2 linked regions of the Tribolium castaneum genome follow. The protein of the gene in region 2 interacts with the protein of the main gene of each other region in a biochemical or structural test. Links are inferred from orthologs where the notes say so. Each region holds a gene or a part of one and is shown on either strand. Other genes may lie near its edges.

What was found. The genes of interacting proteins can lie anywhere in the genome.
Region 1: the proteins of golgin subfamily A member 2 (region 2) and p115 form a complex in vitro, tested with the Homo sapiens proteins (2 studies listed by BioGRID). The link is inferred for Tribolium castaneum from reciprocal best matches to the Homo sapiens genes GOLGA2 and USO1.

The regions. Positions count from the first base shown.
Region 1 is NC_087399.1:6,664,323-6,672,209, forward strand, and holds the start of p115 (general vesicular transport factor p115), read right to left. Parts: upstream 4,040-7,887; 5' UTR 3,957-4,039; coding exon 3,879-3,956; intron 3,822-3,878; coding exon 3,478-3,821; intron 665-3,477; coding exon 1-664. Other genes in the region: radial spoke head 1 homolog, read left to right, coding at 4,290-4,650, 4,703-5,193. UniProt on the Homo sapiens protein: General vesicular transport factor required for intercisternal transport in the Golgi stack; it is required for transcytotic fusion and/or subsequent binding of the vesicles to the target membrane.
Region 2 is NC_087398.1:3,526,809-3,534,936, reverse strand, and holds golgin subfamily A member 2, read left to right. Parts: upstream 1-3,437; 5' UTR 3,438-3,492; coding exon 3,493-3,555; intron 3,556-3,679; coding exon 3,680-5,359; intron 5,360-5,409; coding exon 5,410-6,348; 3' UTR 6,349-6,411; downstream 6,412-8,128. Other genes in the region: pleckstrin homology domain-containing family G member 5, read left to right, coding at 25-117; PIG-A (phosphatidylinositol N-acetylglucosaminyltransferase subunit A), read left to right, coding at 841-857, 909-1,245, 1,293-1,527, 1,582-1,711, 1,765-1,932, 1,985-2,254, 2,306-2,456; zinc finger protein ZFP2, read right to left, coding at 6,690-7,310, 7,521-7,688, 7,738-7,933, 7,998-8,128. UniProt on the Homo sapiens protein: Peripheral membrane component of the cis-Golgi stack that acts as a membrane skeleton that maintains the structure of the Golgi apparatus, and as a vesicle thether that facilitates vesicle fusion to the Golgi membrane.

The sequences.
Region 1 (7,887 bases), on a different chromosome or scaffold from region 2:
CGCCATGACACCCGCAAAGTACTCCTGATTGGTCAAATTGCCCCTTATTACCTCGCCCACTGTGTTAATAGTCTCGGTTAAAATATCGGCGGGGACCCCACTTGCCATTAAAATATTACAAAGGGCTTCAAGTAAATTGGCATTTCGCATTGTCTTTTGGCACGAAGTGACAATCTGGACTGGGTTTGTGGGCGAGACTAGAGTCCTGACCAATTGCAGGACGCAATGCATGTTAGACACTTTCTGGGGGCTCCACCCAACTTCCTCCAAGTTGTCCGGGAGGATAAACATGGGGGCTAACTTCTGTATGTATGATCCTTCTTTGAAAAAATTGATGTTGCTTGTGTTATTTTTGAGGAGGTTGAGCATCAGTAGCATGCAATCCTCAACCACAATGCCCCCATCTGTAAAACCCTCTTCCCGTATAACATCAAACAATCGGTCGAAGGCGTTTTCAAAAGCCACAATTTTTTGGATGTTGGCGTTTGATTTTGTCAAGTTAATCAAAAGAAGCAAAGCGTCGTTCCGGATCACTTCGCGACTTTCGACCAACAAATCCATAAGTTTTGAAACCCCCATGGGGCTCACGAGGATCACATCTTGGATTTCTTTAGGTTTACTTGCCAGAAGTGAAGTGAGCAGCTTGACAGCTGGCCATCTAACCCTAAAATCGCGGGAACCTCTACTTTAGCCACACTCGAAACACTTGAAAGATAATTAAAAGCTCAATTCGGAAATAAAATTAACTAGACGCCCTCTGGTGATGACTTTTGAACTATGTCGAAAACAGTAAAGAAATTTTCGTAATGCCACATTTAACTGACATTTAATGAATTGTTCAATAATTTTGCGTATATAGTGTTAATTACTTACAATAGAAAGAATTACTTTAAAAGTACGTGGTGGTAAATACTAGCGTTGACTTTGGTTCTGTAGTTTTTCGTGGTATAAAGTGTTTATTGTTGGAACTTGAAAGTGGATAAAAAGTGAAAAATATTTAAATTTTGATTACAAAGTGTTATCAAACAGTTGTCTAATTAAAGATTATAAGTAATGGATCACAGCGAACACAAAGTTTGGCTCAAGAAACCAATAAATTAGTGAAGTGTTATGAATTTTAGGTTAGAATTTTCCACTGAAAAAATCATGAAATGCTGCGGTAAATCTACAAAACTACAATAAAGATTAACAACTGCTGATACATTTAAACGTAAATTATGCCAAAAGGTAGGCTTTTCAATGTCTTTGTAATAATTTTCCAATAAAGAAAGTGAACCAAACAGTCATTCGTTATTCGTGTTTTCCTCGTCATCTCTCATTTGTCAACATAAGTTTCTTGCATCAAAGATGAAATAATCATTCCGCATAGGCAATGTAATAATTGTGAAGCCCCAAAATTCGTACAACGCTCAAAATATCCGAATAAACATTTTCCCGCCATTTATGGTTACTGTTTTCGACCTAGCTCAGTGGCGCCCCCAACGGTAATTTTACTTCCGAATACCTCCTTCCTTGTGGTAAAGGTTAGTTTACCGATAATAAGCGACTTCATCCGATCAAACACAAACATTATTAAATGGGTGAAAATATCTTAATTTAGACCGTTTTCGCGTGCTTTAACACGTATTTCTCTGGTGAAAGCTGTAAATTCAGTAAATTCAGTGTAGTTTTTACTTTTTAATAAATCGAAACCAAAAAATTAAGAAATATTCTAAAATAGATCGAAATCGATCTTATTTCATCTGCTTCAGTCGACTTATTGATAGTTTCTGAGAGAAATTTCGCCAAAATAAGCCGACGAATCACAAAACCTGATGGCAGTTGGAGTTGTCTTTACTTATTTTGAGCCCCTAAGTACATTAAATTTTCAATAATTTTGTAAAATTTCAGTTAAAACCGACCGTAAATTTATCTAATTACAAAAAAAGTACTCTACTATATTGCATTTATAAGCATTTTAGTTTGTTTTACAGTTAGGAATGCTAGCACTTTCGTTAAAAATAAGCTTGAAAATCATTAAATTAAACAAAAAATAATGTTATTTTTGTCTTAAGCAAGTTTCAATCAATAAAATCGATCAAGAAAATTATAAAAATAATTCGAAATTGATGGTAATTTGGTCAAAAATAATGTTATTTTTATCTTTTTTTACCCCCTAAGTACGATTTCGAACTAGAATTTCAAAATTTTTGAACGATTTCGCTCAAACAGGTCTAAAAATTACCAAGTTATGCAATTAATTGTACTATTCTTGCTCTTCTCGAGCGGTTTTACTAGTTTTCCAGTCAGAAACGAAATGAATTTACAAAATTTCAATAAAACAAACTGAAAAATTTTTAAAGTAAAAACTTATTTTTTTCCAAAAACTAGGCTAAAATTGAAAACTAAAACTCATAAAAATACATGATTATGTAGTTCGTTTTAGAACACAATTTCGACAAAAATAAACAATTTGCGTAAAAGTAGTGTCATTTTTATAATTTTCCAACCTCTAAGCACGTTTTCAAAGTAAAATCTAAAGGTTTTTTGCGAGATATCGCTAAAATATGCCAAAAAACACTACAAATAAAATATACAATCAAATTTTTGTTGTTAATTAGCGCTTTAGCTTGTGATTTAGTCAGAAACAAAATTATTTTCTGTATTTTTAGTATGTTTATCAGCTAAAAACTTATTTTTTTGCAAAAAACACAGTATGTCTGTTTAAAAAATCGAAATTAATTTTGACTTAGCTTTGTTTTGCTAAAAACTAGAAGAACAAATCAAAATTGATATTTGACTCGATTTACCTTGTTATTTACAAAGCCAGTAGATATACTGTATATCTACTGGCTTTGGTTATTTATTGAAATTTTGTCAAAAATAAACGAAACATCAATTTGGTTAAAAATAATAATGTTATTTTTGACTTTTTCTCATCTCTAAACTTGTTTTTGAATAAAAAATCTTAGGGTTTTTGTCAGATATTGTTAAACTAGTTCGAAAAATACTTAATTAAATGATAACTCATTTTTGCTTTTTGGACCGTTTTAGCTTATTTTTTGGTTAGAAATAAAAATAGTATTTCACGAGATTTCACTAAAAATAGTACGTCTAAGTTCATTTTTTATTTAAAAACTTTAGTTTTTTGTCAAAACTGCTTAAAACAAATTACCGTTATTTTGACCTGTATCACTCTATTTAAACCGTTTGAAAATACATATATTAGTCAAAATTGCAAATTTGCCCAAAAATAGTGTTATTCTTAACAATTTTTAGGTGTTTGAGTACGTTGTTGAACTAAAATGTTGGTTTTTGTGAGAGAAAAACTACTCACTTAACTCAAACATCACATTATTTCTGATTTCTATCGAACTTTTTTCAAATATAAACACACTTAATTTTAATTTTCAAAATTTCGTAAAATCACAGAGTAAGAATCTCCACAAGGAAAGAGGTGCAAAGGTGTGATCAGTCATTAGTTAAAGCAATTATTACCTAAAGTCGTACTCCTCCAAAAAACTCAAAACCAGGGTCACATTTTCGGCATTTTTGATAAACATTTCAGTGAACTGCTCCCCCACATTGACCTTAATGTTTAAATTACTCTCACTCTCCTCCTCAAAAACCTCCTTCGAGGTGATATTACACAACGTATCGAGACAATAGCCGATGATTTCGCAGTCAGAGCGGTCCAACTCCAGGACCTGTCTCAACACATCCATGCCTTGGGCCCCCACTTCGAGGCGATATTTCCGAGACAGGGCCTTAAGGGCCCGACATGCGTCGCGACGGTCCTCCAGTAACGTCGAAGTACTGACCCGACTCACAAGCCGCTCCACCTAAAAGTGGGGTTAGGGGCGGTCAGGACAGCTGTTTGGGGTTTCGGGGGCACTTACGGTCTCGGCACCCGTGGGCTGGGTGCCGGGGGCCGGGGCCCCCAGCACCGACTTCAAACCGCTCCGGAAGTACTCCATTTCACGAAATTAACACAAATTGTTTGAAATTTTTGACATTTTGACGTGACATGTATACAAAGAAACGTCAATAGCGCAGTTTTTGAAACGCACAAAAGGGGGCACTTTTTGTGTGTTAATTTCAAAGACATAATTTCAAAGATATTAGAGGTATTTGGTTAATTTTCTATGTTTGGACGTAGCTCAGTGGCGTTTTATAATTTTACTTCTGAACTGAAAAAGTTTGGGCAGGTTTATGATACAGCGACCTGTTATTGTCCGCTTGGGTTAGTGGGTGGAAGATGGCGCCCTCAGTCAAAGTGTCACATAAATGTCGCGTTTTTTGGCGGGAATATGAATAAGGGGTTTCAAGAGGGTGAACACGAGTTTCTTTTTCCAAATCGGGACAAATATTCGGGTCACTTTTGCGCTCATGTTAGTGGTTTAGCATGGAGGCAAGGCCATGGTGTTTACGAAACGCACGATTTGCAATTTTACGAAGGAAACTGGAAGGACGATAAATTAAATGAAAACGAAAATGTGCGCATTATGTTCAAAAATAACGACACTTTTGAGGGAAAAATCAAAAAGTACAAGTACAACGGTCCAGGGACATACACTTTTCGTAGGGGAGGCCGGTTGTGTTGCGAATTTTTGAATAATAAGCCTTCGGGGAATGTGATTTTTATTGATTACAAGGGACACCTTTGGCATGGTAATTTTTCAGTTTTGTGATTACGAATGAAATAAATTTAAGTGTAATTAAGGTAAGGCCGGCCCTGAGCACACGCTGCTGTACCGTGAGCACATTTTTTCGCAAGAACTGGACCGAGAAAGGGGCAAAGGGCGCCCTATAATCAAAGAAACAACAATTCCGAGTGAAGAAGAAAAAGAAGGCGAAACGAGTGAAGTGGAAACACCAGACTTGAAAGAATTAGAGAGACAAGTCTTCGCCAAAAGCACCAAAACCAAGTCCGTTATTGATTTCGAAGACTCTGACTGGTTCAGAGACTACCAGAAGAACAAAGAAATGAAGCAAACCGTCTTTGAGAAAATTTCAACTCTGGGAGTTTCGAGCCTCACCGATGACGAAAAAGCGTGGTACAAAAAATATTACACGAGTGCAAAAATTCGCGAAGATTGGAAGAAGCCGAAGAAAATCAACCACGATTTGTTGCGCCAACACTTCGATGAAGAATCGAAAAATACGTGCGCGCCAAGTTGCATTTTTTATGCTTCAAATTTTGGTGAAGGCTAAAATTAATTAAAATTTATTTGTGATTGGTATCGGGACACCTGGGGTCGTGGGCGACTCGAATTTGAAAAATAAAGATTTTGTGATAAATTTGAATATAATTAGGTTCTTGTGTTTGACTCCCAGTCGGGCTAAGTCTGAAATATTGGCCCCAAACCAATTATAATTATTTATTTAAATCGTCGGGAATTAATCATTTTGTAATTTATTTATTTTATACAACAAAGTAGCTGTTTATTTAGGTTTAATTTATTGCACCAGTAGTTTTTATTTAAATACAATTTTCCATCTGTTTGCCTTAAAAAATCAACAGTTTCAAGCTGGGCTATTATTAGAAAATAATGTACGTAACAGATGGCCGAAATTAGCAACAATTCACCTGCCAATAATAATAAGTTGCGGTAGAATATTTAAATTGGGCGATTTTTACTAATTGGCCACAAATTTAACAAAGTGATGAAATCGTGCAAAAAATGGGCCATTCGAGCTGTAGTGCAACTGATTAAGAAAAAAACTTAGCTCAGTTTTAGTCCGTTACTATTTTTTTACTAATTGATTTAGTTAATTTATTAATTAATCTTGTTGCTTACCCGTAATTAATTTTTGTTTAGTCACCGTATAACGTACCCTCGAAAAATCAAGAAATAAATCTTGTTTTTTAAACTCTCTTATTAAAAGTGCAAAAAACGACATTTGGTTCTGTTTAATTGTTTCCTCATTTTTCTTCTAGTTTTTGGTTGATTTTCAGCCCATAATTTCGATAGTACGAGCTTTAAACCTTTTAGTTTAAATTAAATATTTAGTGTCGTCGGAAAACCTGTTTTAATTAAGTATTTATCAAATTGATAGTACATATTTTATACAATAAGTATTTAATGATAGCACGAGCCGTAAGCGAGTGTCGCAGTAAGTATAAGTATATGTAGGTATACTTAGTGTCTTAGCATCTAGCTATTAAATTCGAGCTGCATACACTATTTTTTCTACAATGAGATGGCTCACAATAAAAAAATATAATTTTATTGTGAAACGGTCCAGGCAATCTACTAATTGCTGATATTCAGATTTCGTCTAAGACCAAATAAAATATAAAAGTAGAAAAAAAAAACATTATTCAACAAGTAATACCTATGTAGGAAATTCCTAAGAAAAAATTGATGGTAATTTAAATACTACTGAGAAATATTGCGGCGGTTTTCTAGATGCCAATAGACTTCTTAAAACCAATTTACTTTCTCTGAATATTTGCCGAAGAGTTTTGAGTTAATTGAGAAAATAAAACAATAAAAAAACAAAACAAAATAAAATAAAATAGAAAAATACCTTACCATACAAAAAGCCGATTTTAAACATGTTTCAAACTTGATTTAAACCGAGATTTACATCTTGTCTGATAGATTTTGACGTCTTTACCATGGACTTTTTGCGCTAGCTCGAATAATTTCGGCGTAATTGCGATAATTCTAACACATGTTTTATCTCTTTCTCCGAAACTAAGCATAAAATTTGTGGCAAAAATTGAAAAAATAAAAAAAATTGCACCAAAAAACATTTAACTAAAAGTCCTAAGACAAAACGGTTTGTTCCGAATTTATTTTTTTTATTTTTTATTTTTTTATAATCAATAATAATAATAATAATGATAATGATAATGATAATGATAATGATAATGATAATGATAATGATAATGATAATGATAATAATAATAATAATAATGATAAAGATAATGATAATGATAATGATAATAATAATAATAATAATAATAATAATAATAATAATAATAATAATAATAATAATAATAATAAATAAAACATAAAAGCACTAAACTAAAAACTAGAAATATAACAATATTGTAGAGACTGAATCAAAAATAATTCACAAAATTCATATCTATCTTTGTTATTAGTAATTTTTCAAAAAATTCCTCGAACAGGTCAATTTTATTTTTTTAAATGCTACATTTTGACACTATACTGACATTTTCGACATTTTAGATGGTACACTTGCTTCTCTTTCTGGTAAAAAAAAAATAATTATTTAAAAAAGTAATTAAATTAAAAGTTTTATACAAAGAATTTTATCTTTTTGTTCGTGCATTATTTTATAAGAGATGTTTTTTTGTTATTTTTTGTATTCAGGTTTCATATTAAGCATTTTCATGCTAATTTATAAAAAAAACAAAAATAATTGCTTTGTATAAAATATAGGTAAGGCAAGAACAAAAAGATAAAGCCTTCTGTGTTAATTGTTAATATTTTTTTATTTCATTAGGTAAATTATTTTTTTATTTTAATTTTATTTTTTCTATTATCAGGAAGATAAAGATGTGTAGTATTTAAAACAGTAAACAAAAATATCAGTTGTCATTTACAAAAATGAATTACGTTACAACTCAAGAACGCACTGTGATGTGAAAATGTACCATTTAAAAACATAAAATCAATCAAAATAATTATTAGCGACATTACTTTCGACAAAACTGTACCTACGTATAGGTAGGTATTTTTATTTTGTTCTTATATTATTGATATCTGATTTATATTTTTGTAAAAAAACTCACCGCAAGTAAAAAACAAAGTTCAAATAGTAGATTTGGTCATAAATAATGTTTACCACACCCTTTCTATGTTCTAATCAAGACTGATATTATGTTCTAATTATTATTAAAATTAATGAAGATGTTTTCGGAAAGATATT
Region 2 (8,128 bases):
ATTTTGTGATTACTTGAATTATAGAAAAACGGTACGAGAGATGCAAGCATCCACAAACGTTTGTCCTGGAACTGCAGTAGTCAGGAGCAAAGGCCCCCCAACGAGGACCACACCTAGCATACATTTATAAACTCCCTTGTGTCTTGTATAGTGATCCTTTTCTTCTTCTACTTTATAGTCTGTACAGTGCTAGATTTACTAAAATGTCTAGTTGATTGAAAGAGAATCGAAAACTCGGCTTGGGTTTATACGGATTGTACAAAAACCACTGTGGACCAAAATGAACCCACAATATCACGAAAACAATAAATTTATTAGATGTCAAGAAGGTTTGGCACGTTTACATTCCTATTACATTCCAAGATAAACCTAAGCAATACTGTACCTAATCAAAAGTTCTATCTGGCCTAATATTTAAAGATTTTGATAATACTTTAAGTAGGGATTTAGAAATTTAGACCGCTTTAACTGAATCGAAGTGTCGGGTAGGTTCTCGAAAAACAACTTTTGGAAATTTTTGGGTTTTTCCAGGAATTACCGACGCTGCGGTTATGCGTGGACGACCGCTTTATAAAAGAGAAAATCGTTTGTTTTAAACGAAATAGTACAATGAATTTTATATTTTGGTATAAAATTTTATATTTATTTTTTGCTTAAGAAGTCTATATTTATTTTAGTTACGCTATTAAAGAAATAAGAAGTTAAACGAATGTATCTTTGTTATATTTATTGAGAACATCTAATAAACAGCATTACTACACCCCGTGTTCGAATTCCCCGCTCCTTACATCACCAACCAAAAAATCAAAATGTCCTAAAAATGTCAAGATAACCTCAAATATGGGTTACAAAATTTGGTAATTTTATCAATTTCATCAATTAAATGCGTTATCAAACATACATTTTAGTATGGTTTCTGATTTTTTCTTCCCCAACATGGGCGGGGTCGAGGAACACATTTATAACCTCTCCCAGTGTTTGCTCCTTGAGGGGCACAAAGTTGTGGTTATGACACACAGTTACGGCGATTGTGTCGGAATTCGTTACAAAACCAACGGTCTGAAGGTCTATTACCTTCCAATTAGGGTGTTTTATAACCAGTCGATTCTGCCGACAATGATATGCAATGTGCCCCTAATTCGCAACATTTTGATAAGGGAACAAATTGAGATAATTCACGGCCATTCGGCATTTTCAGCCCTTGCACACGAGGCGCTGGTAATCGGAAATTTAATGGGATTAAGGGTATACAACCCTCTCAATACGATTCAAAATTATTTATTTATTTGCAGACTGTCTTTACGGACCACAGTTTGTTTGGTTTTGCTGACGCTAGTGCGGTTATAACAAATAAATTGTTACAAATGTCGTTAACAGATTGCAATCACTGGATTTGTGTTTCACACACTGGGAAAGAAAATACGGTGCTGCGGGCAAAAGTCAGCAGTAAAAGGGTTTCTGTGATTCCAAACGCAGTTGATACATGTGCATTTATGCCGGATCCCAGCCAAAGATCGAGCGAATTTAGTATAAAAAAATCTTCTAATTATAAAATTAAACATTTACGAAGGTTTTTTTTAGTCACAATAGTCGTGGTTTCAAGACTAGTTTACCGCAAAGGCGTGGATTTGACGGCCCAAATTATTTCAGAAATGTGCAGTAAACACGATAAAATCAACTTTTTAATCGCAGGCGACGGACCCAAGCGCGGGTAAACACAAAAACCCTATTTTTTAGCCTCAAATATCATAATCAATTTCATAGATTGCTTGAGGAAATACGGGAAAGGCAAGGGTTGCACGATAGGGTCACCCTTTTGGGTAGCCTGGAGCATTCCCTTGTTCGCAATGTACTAAACCAAGGGCATATTTTCCTCAACACTTCCCTGACTGAAGCGTATTGTATGGCTATAGTAGAAGCGGTTTCATGCGGGTTTGCTTCCCAAAGTCACAATAAACTTTGGTAACTTGGCTAATTTTTATAGATTACAAGTCGTTTCGACCCGAGTTGGGGGAATCCCAGAAGTGTTGCCTGAAGATTTGATTTACTTGACTGAACCAAACGTCCCTTCTCTTATTAAAACCCTCGAAACCGCAATTGATGATTTGAAAAATAACAAAGTTAATTGTCCGTACTTGTGTAATTTGAGGATAAAAAATTATTACAACTGGGAGAACGTTTCAAAACGGACGGAAATCGTGTATCAGAAAGTTATGCAAGAAAGGAATAAAACATTACAGGAGCAATTATGGAGGTGAGGTTGAACTCATTAATACTCAATTTAACTTTTCTGTTTTTATTTTAGTTACAAAACAAGTGGTGTTTGGCCATTTTTACTGGCGGTCTCTTTGTGTTATCTAATGTTGCAGTTTTTGGAGTACATATACCCAAGGGAATACATCGATATCGCCAAGGATTATAATTATAAGAAAAAAAGTAAAGAGAAGATTTATTAGTTGTGTCCTGTAAATAAAATTTTTTATTACCAAACTGTCTTTCTCTCATACTTATAATTAAAACATAAGTTCAAGTCTCAGAGTCAACTGTCTTCAGTTAGTTGATGAAACTATCAGGTGAAGAAATTCTTAACATCATTGTAGATAAATAGAAAAAACAAAAATATTAAACATGCACACTTACCTCAGAGTTTTGTAGTACAGTTTGATTTTTCCTCATCGTCAATGAACTGCAAAAAAATTAAACACATTATATCAACTCAAACCAATGGTTTTTGTTGAGAAATTGCTTCCCAACTCAGTCTTACTTTTTTGGTGGTAGTAAAGGTTATCTGCACAGTAACTCAGATAGCAAATACTTGATCATCATTTAAAATTTAGTTTATAAAACAAAATAAAATATTACAACCTACCGTCTAGGCCTAAGCTGGAATCATAGTAGTTGACAACTCTTTTGTTCAGGCCTCACTTTAGGAACAATCTAGAGCAAAATGTAAATTAGATGAAGTTGTAACAATTAAAAAACAAAAAACCAAATAATATCAGTACACCTTTGCAAGTATAATAAAAACAACTGCCACTCACCTGAATGCACTAAGTGTCATGATTTTTTCCACTTCATTTTCACGAAATCTGCAAATAGATCACAGAAATCAACACAAATACATATCGTAGTTGAAAAATGAATGAATTTAATGGAAAAGTCAGTATTAAAAAGCTCGTTTTTGAATCAACAGAGACATTCAGGTTATAAAAAAAATCATCATAATGATGCTACTACCGCAAAAATACTAGAATCAACATAACAAATCCATAACTCACCTTCATTTTCTTAATTTCTAGTTGTGTAAAATCAGTAGATTGCATTTCTTTTGCAAGATTTTTGCGGATAAACATTGTAAACGAACGAACCAGACAAAAACTCACCGGAAAATAGCACCATTGCCAACGTAACGCGACTTTTATACCTCTTGCACCAACCCTCATCATGAAATCCCCTATTTCGATGACATTTAAACTGTGACGTGTTTGACACATGTCAACAAAAAATATGGCAGATGTGTCAAAAGCCCAAAAATTGGCATCTGCTAGAAAAAAGGTAATTACCAAAAAATGCCATTTACGCTTGTTTAGCTTCTAACACGTCTAGGTAATGAGAAAATGCACACGCTTTTTTTAAAACCCCCTAGTCCAATTAGGCCACATCATTGTTTTGCTTCTAGTTCAAGGAATTAAAAAAGGAAAAAAAGAAGAACACTGCCCAGAAAGCACCCGAACTTGTCGAGTCACCACCCACAAGTCGCGAGCAGACACCTGTGGAAGGTCTCACAAATGAACCAGCGCAACTTCCAAATTACTTCAGTAATGTAAACTTCAACAACGGCTATCAGCAGCCAACGGCATTTTTCGATAATTTTTCACAAAATAACGACCCTTTCGCGTGCATCACGCCCTCAAATAATCTCAATGGTGACCAAAACCACGCGTTTTCAGTACCTGAAGACAATAAAAATGACGAAATTTCCAACTTCCAAGCCTTTGACAGCGTCAAATTTGACCAGAAACCTTCCCCACGCCCCCAGTTGTCCACAGTTGAGAGTCTGCGCCAGTTGCAGGACCAAATGGCCGAATTAATAAGCCCCCCTGAAAATGAGCCACTGGGGGGCGAGTCACCGCTAGAAATTCGGAATCAAGAGTTGGCGGAACTGCTCAATCAGGAAAAGGTGAAAAATGAAGAACTGAACGCTAGTTTGAGAGAATATCAAACGAAGCTCAGCCAATTAGAGGCCGAGCTTAAAGACAAACAATTGAACACCGATACTAGAGTAGAGCACGAAGTTAGCACTCTTCGAGAAGAGTTACAATGTCATGTCCAAACTGTGGGAATTCTCGTGGCGGAAAAGGCCGAATTAGTTGCAAATCTCAGCCAATTCCAGTTGGCGGCGAAACAGAAAACAGCCGAATGCGAGGAGTTACAAGGTCGCTTGAAAACTTCCAGATCACGTGTCGCAGACCTTGAACGTGAAGTTGCGCTCCTTAAGAACGAAAAGTCGCAATACGACAACATGGGACGCGAACAAAACTCCGAGTTGGAAAAGTTGAAACAGAGCTACCAGTCTGTGAAAGATGAAAAAGAGGAACTGCTCCAGGATTTGCTTGAAGCTCGAGAAAAACTCAAAAGTAGCTCTGAAAGTTGCGTCGAGTTCCAACAGCAGATCAAGGAGTTGTCCAATCAACTGTCCATGGCCAATATTAAAATCCAGCAACTCACAACTGGGGATCAAGACAGCAGTGAGATCGAGAAACTGACTCAGGAGAAGTTCGCTCTTGAGAAACAAGTCGCCGATTTGAGCCAAACAGTTAAAACTTTATCGAAAGAGAGGGAGGAGTCTAGTCTACAGTACCAGCAATATGCCCAACAGTTGAACGCGCAATTGTCGAGTCTGGCGACTCGATTAGAGACGTCTCAGAAGGAGAACGAATCTCTGGCGATACGCGAACAGGACAGGATTAAACACATCGGCGAGTTGGAGAAACAACTGCAAAATTTGCAGAACGATCAAGTGTCCTTTGCCGTGCAAAAACCCACCACTGAAACAAAAGCCGAACTCGAAGCCGCCCTAGAATTAGTCGAGAGACTCAAAACCGAAAACGTGGAGTTGCAAGAGGAGAATGTTAAAGCAGCAAACGAAAAGGAGTTGCTTTTGAAGGAGTTGGAAGCCAAAGGAGAGAGTATAAGTGAGCTGGAGCGGATCGTAGAGGAGTTGAGGACCAATCAGCCCGACAGTGGAAAATTATTAGCAATTATGGAAAGTGACAAAGTCGCAGCGGCCAGAGCCGTGTCTCAAAACACCGAATTGAAGAATCAGATGGACAGTATGCAGGAAGTTTTCATGAAGTTGGTAAGTAACGCTCGGTTTTAAAGGAGTTGTCTTTATTATTATTGTTACAGAATAATGACAAAATCGAATTGACCGAAAAACTGACAATCGAGCAGCGCAACAATAAGGAATTGTTCGAAAAATTGCAAAAAACAGAGCTGCATTTGCAAACTTTGGCCGACGCGATTGAAATCAAAGATAAGGAGTTGTCGCATCTTCGGGAGAACTCGTCCGAGCTCGACAAACAGTTGCTGCAGAGTGAACAGTTGAACGATAGGTTGAGGCATTACGAGGCACAGGATCATAGTTCACAAGCGTTACAAAACGAGCTGTTTCAAGCCAATCAAACTATCGAAAAACTGAACGAAGAGATAAAACAATTGAAAGTGTGTAGTAGTGACGTAAAAGAGTTACGAGAGAATGAGACAAAAGATGCCACTGATAGCAACCACAATGGAATTGTTTTGGACAAAGAGGCGGCCATGAAACATTTGGAAGAGAAATTTTTGAAGACGATGGAAGACATTGCCAATTTAACAGAGGAGAAGCAACGTCTCGAACACCTGGTGTTGCAATTGCAAGGTGAGACCGAGACGATAGGAGAGTATGTGGCGCTCTATCAACAACAGAGGAGTCTATTAAAACAAAAAGCGATTGAAAAAGACCAGCAATTGTCACAGTTAGCCAATGACCGCGAATTGATGAAAGCCAAGCTAGACAAATTGAACGAATTGGTGAAAAAGCTGGTCCTTGAAAAAGGAGCCGTTCCGTCCGAATTGCTGGAACATCACCACGACAATCATCTATGCGAAGAACACGCGAAAATCAGTAACGAAATCAATAAAATCGCGCAGAATACGTTCACAGTCGAACCGAGTGATACTCAAAGTACCGAAACAGCAGAAGAAATAATCGCACTCCTGTCGGAGATTAAAACCAGTAACTTGGTACAACCGGCTGAGAATATACATCATTGTCCGTGGTGTTCGGGCCAACTTATTACGGTGTAAATGGGATATTGTGATTATATTGTTATTTTAAATAGCTTGATTAAAGTTTATTACATAACTGCACTCGTGTGTGTTGACTGGGAATAGTTAAGAAATGAGAAACGCGCTCTGATTTTTCATATCAGAATATATTAAGTTTATTCATAGATTCTTAATAGTAAACACGAACTGACAAATATACATTGATCAGACTATGAAAACTGAATCCGAACTGGCGCTGTAGTTCGAAACTACTCGTACTTCAAACTGGCACATCAGTCACGCGTGTCGCCCTCTTATTTTTCAGACACTTCTTACTCAAACACACAATAACTAAGTTATCACTTAAATTACTCTCCTATTCAACCGAAATTCTGATAATTGCTATAATCCGCGGCCGTGAAAGTCGTCGAACTCGCCACGGGCGCCACTATCGAGTACGTCACGGCGCCCCCTTGCCCAAACCCTTGAACCTTCTCCCCCTCACTCTTCACCTGCGACACCACAAACCCGCCCTCTTTGAACTTCACCTCCCCTGCACCCATCAAATTGATCAAACCCGAATTTTGCAATTCGACAATTTTCGGGTCAATCACCAGATTCTCCCCTGAGACGTTCAACGGCCCCATCAGGCCCATCGTATGGGCCAGAATTTTGCCCTTGGCTTCGTCCACCTCGTCGTCCTTTTTCTTGCCGTGGGTTTTGAACCGAATGGGGGTGGGCTCCATCACGGGGGTGACAGGCTCGACCCGGTGGCCCCCTTTCAGGTCCGGCTGGGTCTCCACCCAATGGCCGGTGGTACGTCGGTGGGTTTTCAACTGTCCGGATTGGATAAAACGCGCCGGACACATGCCACAGGCGTAGGGCCGCGCCCCCGTGTGCCGGCGCATGTGGAGCGCCAAGTCGTTGGACTGGGTGAAGGCCCGTCCGCAAATGTTGCACACGTAGGGGCGCTCGCCGGTGTGGACGCGCGTGTGGCGTAACTGGACAAAAAAAAACACGCTCATTCAACTCTTAATTGTTCAATTATTTTTCTTTAAAATTATATTCAGAAAAAAATTGTGATATTTTGAATCACCAAATGAAGAGAGTAATTATATAATTCCTTGTGTTTTCGGCACTTAATTTTTAAAATTGTTCATTTATTTATAATTTTTTATAATGTTTAGTCTGCGGTCCGCTTCAAGACTTACCAACTTATTGCTCTTATTGAATGATTTCCCACACAACGCGCAATGGTAGGGTTTTTCCCCTGAGTGTGTCCTTTCATGACACTTGAGATCATGCGATCTGGGAAAGCCCTTACCACACTGACTGCATTTATACGGTCTTTCCCCCGTATGTCGTCTCATATGAACAATCTAAAATAAACCAGTCAAAATAAGTGATTTTTTACGAAACAATCCTCACCATATTGCTCGAATTATTAAACTCCTTGCCGCAATAAATACAAAGATGCAATTTCGTAGTATCTTTGATACCCGTATGGATCCTCTGATGAGTCTTGAGATTATCGAGTCGATTAAACGCTTTACCACACTCGGAACAAACATGTCTCTTGTCTTGCAACAAATGTATTTTAATATGGCGCGCTAAATGATCCGACCTGTTTGAAAAAAAAAAAAAAAAAAATTAAAACACGGCTACCAATCGCCAAAACATGTAAATACCTGCTGAAAGTCTTTTCGCATATTGAGCACGTCAAATTATCCTCTTTCTCGTTCCCGGTTTGATGCACCTTCAAATGTCTTATCAAATGTTCCCCTCTACTGAACGGTTTATTACAAATCGTACACGCATA